Linked DNA regions of Drosophila melanogaster. The protein of the gene in region 1 interacts with the protein of each later gene in a pairwise test. Each region holds a gene or a part of one and is shown on either strand. Other genes may lie near its edges.

Evidence for each region. Proteins that work in one complex are often made in the same cells at the same time.
Region 2: the proteins of Spt-I (region 1) and TotB interact in a two-hybrid assay, tested with the Drosophila melanogaster proteins (one large-scale study listed by BioGRID).
Region 3: the proteins of Spt-I (region 1) and Cht7 interact in a two-hybrid assay, tested with the Drosophila melanogaster proteins (one large-scale study listed by BioGRID).

The regions. Positions count from the first base shown.
Region 1 is NT_033778.4:13,166,858-13,171,263, forward strand, and holds Spt-I (serine palmitoyltransferase subunit I), read left to right. Parts: upstream 1-1,640; 5' UTR 1,641-1,713; exon of another isoform or gene 1,714-1,957; 5' UTR 1,958-1,983; coding exon 1,984-2,031; exon of another isoform or gene 2,032-2,093; coding exon 2,094-2,593; exon of another isoform or gene 2,594-2,649; coding exon 2,650-2,977; exon of another isoform or gene 2,978-3,032; coding exon 3,033-3,398; intron 3,399-3,450; exon of another isoform or gene 3,451-3,459; coding exon 3,460-3,624; 3' UTR 3,625-3,887; downstream 3,888-4,406.
Region 2 is NT_033777.3:20,872,338-20,875,046, forward strand, and holds TotB (turandot B), read left to right. Parts: upstream 1-1,600; 5' UTR 1,601-1,640; coding exon 1,641-1,663; intron 1,664-1,722; coding exon 1,723-2,116; 3' UTR 2,117-2,185; downstream 2,186-2,709. Other genes in the region: TotC (turandot C), read left to right, coding at 695-717, 781-1,147. UniProt on the Drosophila melanogaster protein: A humoral factor that may play a role in stress tolerance.
Region 3 is NT_037436.4:3,103,935-3,108,953, forward strand, and holds the start of Cht7 (chitinase 7), read right to left. Parts: upstream 3,025-5,019; 5' UTR 2,743-3,024; coding exon 2,740-2,742; intron 1-2,739.

The DNA of each region.
Region 1 (4,406 bases):
TGGAGCAAGCCGGACCGAATTGGTAGGTCCCGCAAAGAAGAAGAAGTAAAGTGATGTGATGTGAGGTGAAGTGAAGTGAAAACCACTAACTGGGTTGGCGCGGCGCCGTGTTTATTATTGATATTTATTTTGGTTTTTGGCTCGTGCCCGGCCAGCGAGTTACGTAAAAGAAAAGCCAACGTCAAAATGCAGCTCGAAAACTGGTTGCTCCACCGATTTTCGCACACACCAAGAGATACTTATTGCGCATTGCAAAAAGCGGGTAAAAGCGAAAATACCTAATCGAGGAAATACTGCGCTGGGATGCATCAATTGTGTCATGGAGTTAGTCGGGTGCATTGCTCGATTTATCTGCGAAAGTGGGCATGGTGTAGACATGGTAGCTTCATTCGAGCGCATCAAGTTCAAGAGAAATAGGAAGTGGCTTTTCTTTGCGCTATTTCGGTTTGCCATTATCGCATGGGCAATGCTAACTATAACTATTTGATTGATAGATAGTGATGTGAAAGGTACTTTGATTGGTAGCTACATAGTATAGTTCATCAGTATCAGTTGGCAATTATTTAATAATATTGTAATTTAAGACGAAATGGAACTTGATAAAAATGATTATGTATATTTTAAATACAATCGTGACTTTGAAAGAAGTATTTCCTTGGGTCTAATTGAATAGTGATATAGGTAAATAGTAAATAATTATATGAAATGCAATAGAATTTACTATATATTAAAACAAGGACATTTGCAAGGAAGAGTGAATACTTGTACCTAGACTAGATCGCGACACATAGCGTAAATTGTTGTATCTAGACTACCAGCCAGGTACACCCAAATATACACTTCCCATCACTGCCAATAGAAAAAAGTGTTAATTTCACAGAAAACGACAGCCGCAAGTGGCTGAAAATAAACCAAGGCAATTGCAAAATACTCTTGTTGTCCAGCTGATTTCACTTTGTGCACATACAAGTATCCGTTTCGATTCGCGTGTAATGTGATAAAGTTTTCTTGCAAAATGCAGAACTAACTATATCTCTTTGTTTACATCGGCTTTTTGCGGTGTTCTTTGTCTTCTCGCGGTTTTTATCTCGCGAACTCGAATTTCAGATGGCGCCAGTAACGCGGCTCATTCACATCGGTTGACCGATCGCAGCAGCAGTTCAATGGAAACTGAATGGATCGGCGGTTTGAATTGAATTCGATTTCGTTATTTCCCACCGCACGGTCACACTGCGATCGCTGCTCTGCCTATCGATATAAAATAGTAATCGATCATATATTTGAAATGATAACTAGAAAAGAACCGTTACGTAGCAAGTTTATTTGAGTTCAGTATCATAAAAATATTGATAAAATCTAGGTAATTTTTAATAAAAATTTAAAATCTGTTGTAACTTGTTGTATTTTGTTGTTAGCGAGTCAGCTCGGTGGGACAGGTCAGTGGGACACGTCAGCGGAACAGGTCGGTGGGTCAGATCGGCGGGACAGGTCGGTGGGGCAGGTGGGCGGGACAGGTCGACAGGACCAGGTTTTTGAATAACAAAAAATAAATAAAAACGTCCCCTAGTTCCATATTCCACTGTTCCTCCATCGCCGCCAATTTGGCGCACATCTTAAAGATATCCGCGTATTGGTATTTTTTAGTACATTCGTTCATCCATCTGTTTCGGCGGATATTTCACGCATTTTGCCTATAGTTAACTGAGTTTTGTGGTGAGTGCTCGATTTAAATGGATATTTAATGTAAGAGAATGTTGGAGAAGGGCGTGGTTGCACATTTTTCGCCCACTGGCAATTAGCCTATGTCAGCATACACACCCAATTGAAAAGATTTCCGTACCGTATGGTCGAATGCTTCAATTCTACATATGTATGGGGCATACCCGCGATAAGAAAGCGTCGGCTAGATGACACATAACTTCAGGGAATTAAGGCGGTTTCAATTGATTTTTCACAGAAAGGGCACGGAACCAGACTGTCAAAATGGTGGCCATCCAATTGTTCAACGAAATCGGCAGTATTTTCCGAAACGTAAGTTTGCATTCGCCTTTTTCACCACATTTAGCTTACTCCAGTTTCTACTCCTTCCACAGACCCCCACGTTTGCTCTCGTCTTGGAGACCCTACTGCTCATAACCGTGATTTGGTTGCTGCTCCACAGACGAGGAGGAGGTCGTCGCCGACAGCTGACCAAGGAGGAGGAAGACCGAATAATCGCCGACTATGAACCAGAGCCCTTGGTGGCCGACACCGATCCCAATCATCCCCTGCTGCACACCCGCGTTGTGCAGTCCAGGGTGGGCAAGCGCATCCAGGTCGATGGACACGACTGCCTAAATCTTGGCTCTCACAACTATCTTGGCTTCCTCGAGGACCAGGAGATACTGGAGGAGGCCTGCAAGTCGCTGCGCAAGTACGGAGTTGGATCTTGCGGACCTCGGGGCTTCTACGGCACTATGGACGTGCATCTGGACCTGGAGGATCGTATTGCCAAGTTCATGGGCCTGGAGGAGGCCATTGTCTATTCCTACGGCTTCTCGACCGTGGCCAGTGCCATTCCGGCGTATGCCAAACGTGGCGACCTTATCTTTGTGTAGGATTGTCTACTTCACCTACTCAGATTGGCGACTAATTACTTGTTATTTGTAGGGATGAGGCTGTCAACTTTGCCATTCAGAAGGGTCTGGATGCTTCACGAAGCACAATCGTTTTCTTTAAGCACAATGACGTTGAGGATCTAGAACGTCTGCTGATTGAGCAAGAAAAACGAGACCAGAAAAATCCGAAAAAGGCGGCTAAGACACGTCGCTTCCTCGTCGCCGAGGGTATCTATATGAATACGGGCGAGATTTGCCCACTTCCCGACCTGGTGGCCTTGCGTCAGAAGTACAAGCTGCGTTTGTTCATCGACGAAAGCATCTCCTTTGGCACATTGGGCCAGGGTGGTCACGGAGTTACGGAGCACTTTAATGTCGATGTAGGTGGTAAACCGGAAAGAAAAACTAAAATTATAACTGGTATTTTTCTTTTAGCGTGATGAAGTCGATCTGATATCGGCCGGCATGGAGGGTTCGATGGCAACAGTCGGTGGCTTCTGTGTTGGCTCGCACTTCATAGCCGAGCACCAGCGCCTCTCTGGCTTGGGCTACATCTTCTCGGCCTCGCTGCCGCCCATGCTCACCCAGGCGGCTATTTCAGCGTTGGATCGTTTCGAACGAGAACCACAAATCTTCGAGCAGCTGCAGGCAAAGTCTAAGACGTTGCACCAGAAGTTTTTGCGATTCAGCAAGCTAACCCTGCGCGGCGATGAGGTGTCACCAGTGAAGCACTTGTATCTTGCCCAGCCCGCCGAGAACTTTGACAAGGAACTGAAACTTCTAACAGAGCTGGCTGATAAGGTAGGCATTTTATTTCCCCATGCAATTATGAAAACTATACATTTCTACTCACTTTTCCCAGTGCATTGCTCGTGGAGTGGCTGTGGTACAGGCTGCCTACCTGCAGAACAGGGAACGCCAACCAGTCCGTCCCAGCATTCGCATTGCTGTCAACCGTTTGCTGGAGAGTTCGGAAATAGACAATGCGTTTGAGGTCATCGAGAGTGTTTCCAGCTCCGTCCTATAAGCCTTGTTGTTGGAAAGGAATGATCTTCTTTCGACAATGGCCTTGCTGTTAAGTTTTAAGGCCTGCTGGCCCCATCATTTTTTCATCACTTCTTCACGACCAGTCCAGTATGAATTGTTTAAGTTAATAGCTAGCCTTGCACTTGCTCTTTGCACTTTGTTGCATTGCATTTTAATGAAAAATTTTAAGTCTAGGAAAACTTTCAAAGATTACACGTTATAGATAACAGAGCTGGTTAAATAAAACTATTAAGTTTATTTGGTAGTTACGTGCCCTTTTATTGGTGTTTCTTATCGCCTGCGCAATCGCAAACGTTTTTGAATATCCCGATAAAGATAAGGGTAATATTATGTGGCATTTGTTGTAAAATTTACAAGAACAACTTCCACAAAGAAACATTCATTATTTATTTATGTTTTTCTTGCATGACAATTAAGATACACATCACACGCTTAATAATAACTAATATGTGGAATAAGCCAGATGGAATGGAAATGCTTTGAAACGATTTGATTGCCAGTGGAGCAGAGCTGTTTCCGAGTGGCGACCTAATCTGTGAGCAATAATCATAACCCTTCGACTTTCAAACCCATGTTTGTGCATTCGATTCACTGATGAACTTGACAACGACGACCCCAAATCATGATGTTGTGCACATAGCGCTCTGATTTCGATGCCGATATGCCAGCCGGCAATCAGCGCCAATTGAGCGTATACGTACTATGAACTTGGGTGCGGTGCTATCAGTGCGAATACGCAACATTTGGCGACAAAAACATGCA
Region 2 (2,709 bases), on another chromosome or scaffold:
ATTGTCTTGCAAATTTCTTTTGATATACATTACATACCGCCAAAATCAGTCATAACTTCACTTTTGAAAAATGATTTCATATTTTCAATCGCTATGTCAAAGTTGAGGAATTTGTCTATTGCACTTCCTCTTGTCTTCTTTCTGATTTTATTAAAATAAATCATTTTTACTAAGAGAATTGCATTTATGTTATTGTTGTAATGTCGGTGGAAGCTTTGTGATAACATGAAATTCCGCGAAAATGTGTCAATATTTGTTTTGACTTATCAATTCTTATTTAAAGGAATATTATATAATGAGATTTAGCGTTGAATGTATGCGTATCACAAAATACAGATGATGTTCTTATCAGCATTGATAGTTGCCAATTCTGAGAAAGTTGTAAGACTAGATTTTTCATTTAACAACATTTACGTATATGCGGGATTTTGTTAAATGTTGCTGTGTAAGCCGTATTTAATTAATTTGATTTAATTTCTAATCACTGTTGATAATGAAAATTCTCGAGAAATTATGAAAAATGTAAAAGCATTGGGCTCTAATGCAGTGTGCTGGTTATTTGCTGATAAGTTAATTTTTCTAAATGCGCATTCCCTCATCAATTTTACCTTTCGCTGGCCTATATATTCCGCTCGCTGGGCTGCCAAAGTATCAGTTTGTCTTAAACCAGTGCTCTACTAGGGTTATTAACAAAATGAATGCCTCCATTTCTCTACTGTAAGTATTGATTACTTTAAAAAATACTTAAAACTTAATAACATTTCTTGGGCAACTAACTAGATGCCTTGCCCTGCTCCTGATTAGTCCTTTTTGCTTGGGCTATTCTGACGAGGAAAGGGAATCTGACAGCCTTAGGGTTGCAGAAATTATTCGAACCTCCAACGACGCCGAATCGAAGATCAATCGAACCCAAGAGCTGCTCGATATCTTTAGGCGCCTGACTCCCACGTTGTCCCCTGAACAAAGGGAAAAGATTGAAAGATCCATTCAGGAGCATACTGATGAAATTCTAATCGATGGAGTTCCGAGTCAGGGGGGGCGAAAGACCAAGTACGTCGGAAAAATCCTATCTCCAGTGGCACAAGGCCTTGCAGTTGGATTCTTTGAAGAACTCGGTGGCAGCCTTTCCAGGCTCTTTACTGGATAATCACCATTCAGGACTAAGGGATTTTGAGAAACATTAGATAAACATGTTGTAAGCTCAAGTCCAAATAAAATATTCCAGTTTGAGAAGATGATTCTTAAAATTGAGTAGTATTTTTGTTATTTTCTTTTCGCCATTTTGAATTTTACATTCAAAGTTCATAAAATATTGGTGTAAGCGGTCAAGGGATATATTTTCGATAACACATTTCAACTCAACACACAATAAAATTGTTGTTTGCAGTAGATAAACTCTTTTGTAGTATATGCATATGTACAGCTGCGTAATGGTCATGATTACAAGAATACAAGAAAATCCATATAAAACAATTTAAAACAATTTACTAAGAATAAATTTCATTGTTAAAAGTGATTGGATTGTTCAGAAGATGCTTCTATATTCGTTATCAGGGAGCCATCGGTGTCTATAAATTGTGTGTCTTGGCTTCAGGATTGTCAGTTCGGCTTGCACTTGCATTCCATTAAGTCCTTACAAAATGAATTTTAAAACGTCTTTGATGTAAGTGGCGTTTCGTATTTTATTACAATTGAACTTATTATTTCTAACTAAATTTTCAGCTGTTTCGCACTGCTACTGATTGGAACTCTATGCTCGGCCTATTCCAATCAAGAACGTCAACGTGACAGTCGTAGGGTTGCTGAAATTATGCGAACCTCCTGGGACGACAATACCAAAATCAAAAGAATCCAGGAACTACTTACCATATACAATCGCATGGCTCCTAGCTTAAGACCAGATGAAAGGGCGAGAATGGACAGATTCATAAGTGGATATACGGGAGAAATCATGGTCGATGGAGTACCCAGTCAAGGTGGTGCTAGAAGGATCTTTAAGAAGATTCTGTCTCCGGCGGCAAAGAGCGTGGCAACTGGATTCTTTACCGAACTCGGTGCAAGTCTTGCAAGCATATTAACTAGCTGGTTTCCAGCTAACACAGAACGAAACCATTGAAATCGTAGACATCTTTTTTGTAATAAAATCAATTCCCCACTGAAAGTGAAAGTGAAAGCATTGAAAGAGACTATCATAAATGCCGTATTTTATTCCCAGAAGGTGAATTAGTTAATACGCATCCATTGTAATGGAAATTGTGAACATCCACCTGTACATGATTACTTAATCAGATAGAAAATTTCCATAAATTGCATATTCATATCTTCTGCCCAGCATTTTATCCATAACCTTGTAAAAAATATGCACTCATATTAGATTGTAAGAGGTTGATTTAAAAATTCAGACAAAGTGCAGGGCGAACTTTGTTCATTCAATCTGACCAAAGTTTGTTTTGAATTCAATCAACACCCAAACAAAACTGAATTGTGGAAGCATGTTGTTCGAGAAAGCGATTGCAATTATTATTTGTGGGTAAAACACTTTTTGTGTAGAATACCACAAACTCGTTTTCGGCCGACGAAAGTTTTTGATTGTCTAGTCGAAACAGGGCATGTGGAAAGTAATTAACATGCAAGTGTCGAAAGCGTCTGACAGGGACCTTCTGCGTAGTGTGGGCGTCTCCGGCTGCCACAGGACATCCTTGTGGGTGA
Region 3 (5,019 bases), on another chromosome or scaffold:
CAGCCCACACTCCCCCGATGCAAAAGCCAAACAAAACCCAGTTGCAGCTGGCTGTCAGGGCTGGGCAAAAAGTGATTGCCAAGAAGCCGACAGCCAAGAATCGAGAACGTCGTGTTGCCAGGCACTTTTGGCCACGCTTTTGAGCCAAGATATTATTGGCCGTAGTCGGAATGCTTGGCCTGGCCTGCAATTATGCCCCAGCTACTTGACGCTGTTTGAGCTATGAGTCGTGGCTGAGTTTTGAGTGCCTGGCATTTTCTGGCACATTATATTCACATTTCATAGAAACTAAAGTTGCATTGTCTAGTCTAACAATAAAACATTTAAATGTCTTTCATTTATGTAAAGTCAAGCTTAAAATACTATTAAAATGATTATATCGCTTCAAAAGTCACAGCTTCAGGGACAGCTAAAAAAATGTCAGAACTTTGAAGGGGAATATGTTTTTTCTTTGCTTTTTTAATAAAAAAACTAAATTTGGTAATACAAATCAAAAGATAAGCATTCCTGTTACCCAATTCGCCTACTTGCATCTTCTTCTATTTTCTACACTCTAATTGCGCGATCGGTTACAAAATCTGGCAAGGCAGGACCCTCGTAATCGTTGGCACTCGCATTACGTATACGCCCAATCGTACCGCATTAGCAACTTCCGTCACAATAATAAAAAAATAATACGACAAGAGCGTAGAGAAAAATGCGTTGCTTGTTTTCTGTTTTCTGTAAGGGAGAAAGTCTGTCGCTGTGCAATTATATTGTCTGCCCCCAACCTCCTTTTCCACTAAGCTCTGATTTTTTTTTTCGTTTGGTATTTACTTTTCTTTGGGGTTTTTCGAATGTAAACATGGGTAAGCTCGCCGTCTTGCCATTTCAATGGTTTGTTTTGCAAACAAAATTCTCTGCAAGTGTTTTCATTCAATTGTCAGCGCCGGCAGTGGCATTTCAAACGAAAGTGAGAGTTTCAGATACACTCGTAGAAACATGAACAGCTACAGATACGACGGGAGTTTTGCAGATACATTTCCAACTTACTGCACATGTCAGTCACTGCTGTCAATAGCGCGTGTCAAGTCGATGGGCGTGGCAACAAGAAAAGGGGCGGCACGAAAGAGAGTTATTAACTAACGCCAAAATGCCGCGAAAGTGCACAGAGGCAATGAAAACTTTGGCCCGGCTGGCAATTAACATTTTCGAGTTTTCTTTCTTTCAAGCGATTTAGTTTTGACCTGCTCCACATTACATAAATGTTTTGGTAATTATAAAAAGCGAAAGACTTGATGAATATTGCCATAAATGATAATTATAATTAGGAAAAAGCTCGAATTAAGCAGTTTAAATTGTCTTAAGAAGCTAGTTAGTTTTTGGAGACCGTTTGATATTTTTCCATTGGGAAACATTTCTTAGCACATAAAATGTATATTTTCAGTGCCATAACTAATGCGAAAACCTATCACGGAGACAATGAAAACTTGGGCAATTAGCATTTCTTATTGTTTTTCGTTTTTCGTTTTCATTTTCGAAATGCTTAAATTTCGACCTGCTCCACATTATACGCTCGTTCACAGAAATATAATGGAGCTCGTATGTCCGATCGGTTGCATTGTGCGGCTAGCGAAAGACCATAAAATAAAATGTTTAATTTATAAAGCCAGCAGAGTTCGCATTTGATTTGGACTCTCCGATTGCCTTTTGCTTTTCCACTGTTTTCGAGACTCCGTTTCGAACCAAATTTTTGCAGTTTTCCTTTTTTGAGACCAGTTTTTTTTTATGTTGCTTTGCTTTGCCAACTATTTGCCAATCGACAGCGGCGAGTTATAGGTATTTTTTCTTTTTATTTTTTCCTTTGCAAATATTAATTGTTGTAAAACAAAACTAGTTATTGTTTTTGCCATTGTTGTGCGCCTGTGCAACTTTTACTTGCTGCCTATACCGCTGATTTTGCTGGCAAATTGAGGCGTGCCGCCTGCTGCGGCCATAATGGAAATCTTTCGGCTAGCTGGCTTTTCGTTTTTCGCTTTTCGCCTCAAACGGCCGAGGAAGTAAAAGCCGTTGCCAATTGGCCAATTGAAGACTGCGACTACGGACATTTTCCCCTTTTCTCGGACGGGCTTTCAGCTACGAAAGCGAAACTGAAACCCCCCACCAACTTCTAGCCCCCCACTTTACACTCTTTTTTTTATTTATTTTTTTTTTTTGTTTAGCCCCTCAGCGCTCATTTTATTCATTGTCTTTGACAAGTTCGCCTTCAACTTCGGTCGGTCAGTAGCGGTACAGAACCCGTTGTCGTTGTTGCTGTTGCTTTTTCTCACACTCAGCCATTCAGCGATAAAGTCTTACACAGGAAAAGAATTTTGAACGATTTCCTAGCTGTGCGGAGAACGTGTTAGCTGGTTAATTAAAGCAAACTTAACAATTAGCATAACAAGAATAACAATCAAGTGTTTTCTAAAATATCTTGGAATTGTCTATAATATTTCTTTGATTGTTTTCTGCCTATCATTGTTTTATGTTATGTTTATGCAGCATTGTCTTGTTTTTTTCGCTGTGCATTCTTAGTTTACGTTCTCCAACTGCCATGGAGTTTCTGCTGTTTAACATTCGTTTTTCCGTTGCGTCAACGGACTTTCAATATTCTTTGGCATGCTTTTGGTTCTGGCAACCCAAGGGGGCTGTGTTGGGGTCTGTTGTGGATATGATAATTTCCATAGCTCCATGCCTCTGACACACATTTGCACTCACCATTTTCAAAGCTCGACTCCGCGCCGCGTATCCACAAACTACAAAATCGATTCTCCTTGAGCGGGCAGTCGGTATTAGATTGGATTGATCTGGACTCGATTCGGATTCGATTGGATTGCGTTTTTAGGTGTGTTGTGGCTTTCGAGACACTGCAAACTGTCGTGGCTAACCGCACATATTTTGCCACTAGTCACTAGTCACTTTCAAAAATCCTGGCCCCCAGAAAGGCGAAGTGGACCGCTTGTCGCTTCGAACTCGCACGTTGGACTGAAAAACTGAAACTGATTCGAGCGCTGCCGCCGCCAGCTGCGAAGACAAGGCGACGACAACAACGGCCACGGCAGCGACGTCGGCGTAGACACTGGGAGAAAATATTAGTGTCTACAAAATCTTTTTAATGGCCATCAATAGGGTTGTGGTAGGCAGTAGGACCTTCCAGCTGAATGGCCAAATTAAATTCTTTTTCTTAGATGAACAGCAGTACAAATAATCCAAAAAATTAATATTATCTAATATCTACAAATATTTCCAAAAACATTGAACGATATTTTTGTAAAATTTTGCAATATTTGCCTCAGTGCATTGAATGTATTGTAGCAGCGGAGAGTATAGCTAAGCTTAGTTTGGCCCCCGGATTGAGCAGGGTTTTTTTCGGTTTTTGTTGCTTTGGTGTTTGGTGTTTTGTGTTTGACAACGGCTGAGCTTCAGTTTCAGGTCCGCCACGTACGACGCCATATACGCGCAGTCCAACAACAAAGCAATGGGGCAGTAGCAGCAGCGGCAGCATAAAAACAGTTTTCGGTTTGCAGCCCGCGCTGTGAGCTGCATGGAAAATTAAATTTGCTGCGTTGCCTTTGCTCGGCTCTTTCGTTCACCACTGTTAGTTGGCAACAGAGGGTTAACAGTGGATTTGGTGGACTAGACCATATCCGCCGGCCATCGATTGCCTTTCAATTCGCGTTCAATCGAACCACATTCAACCGGTTTGATTTGGGTACTTATAATCACAGATTTAGGCAATTTCAGTTTCTTTGATAATTTATTTTAAAACTGCTTCATTTATTGTGCCATTTTATTACAGAAAATTGCGTATTATAAAGACTTTACTGGAATTTGTGGCCATTTAGAAAGTAAAATAAAGTTTGTTAGGACCACGCCATCAAGTTCTGCTCACATAGACCTATAAACTGGCATTTAAATCTGTCTACTATTTTCCTTACACATTGAGTAATATCTCTAAAATATAAACCAATTTAAAGAGGATTAAGGCGCTTAGAAATCGTTATTTATTTGAAAAATTAATATCAAAAGCTTTAAAAACAAATTAATATAGGTTAGCACCGTTTGTTCGATAACTAAGCCGTGTAAAACTAGTTGACTCCCCCACCCACCCACTGGGGGCGGTTGGTAGCCACCATTTGTTATCCGATTGGGATTTTGTAAACAAACATGTTTGATTAGCATAAAGACAAACGGCCAAGAGCCGTCAGCCAAATGTCTCCGACCTGATCCTCATCCCCATCTCCATTTCCATCTCCATCTGCGACTGCGTTAAATGTAAATTCGAAATATGATTTACAAAATACGCTGCGCATAACACTTGGCTGACGTTTCACACGATAGAAAGCAGGAGGCAGCGGAGGCTAATTAGCATATGGGTTTCTGTGAAGGGGTTTCATAAGCGGAACCCGTCCAATTTCAACTCCAATCCCTGACCTGGCCACACCCCCCTCCACAAATCAACGAGCCAGCGTCGACAAATTGCGTTCCTATGAAAGCGAAAGTCCCCACATTGGAGTCGGTTTTTTTTTCCAAAGTTCTGGTCTTACAGTTCCTGGAGATCTTTTGATCGGCTGAAGAGTCTTCTCACGCTTTGCATGCCATAAATTTCACCGCCTTTCACTGTAAATCATTTGGCCGACTTAATTGCGTGCATTTTTATGCCCATTCCATTGCGTGCCATTTGCCATTTGATGTTTGCAGCGGCTTTTGCTTTTTGCAATTCTGTGTGCCAGTTTTCCCCAAGAAAACTCTTCCATACGATGCTCTGTTTCGCAAGGGGGCCAGGTTTCACATCGGATGCACAAAAGTACATAAAACCGAAAGCCAAAAAGCGAGAGCCAGGAAGAAGGAATCTATTCGAATGGCAAATACCCATTATCTATGCGGTTCAGGTGGGACCTTTTCGACGAGTGCATTGGCATGGCTTTCGAATTCGTTATACCGATTGAATATCAAATCGAACGACTTAACCTTCACTCCAGCAAGTTCGTGCCTTAA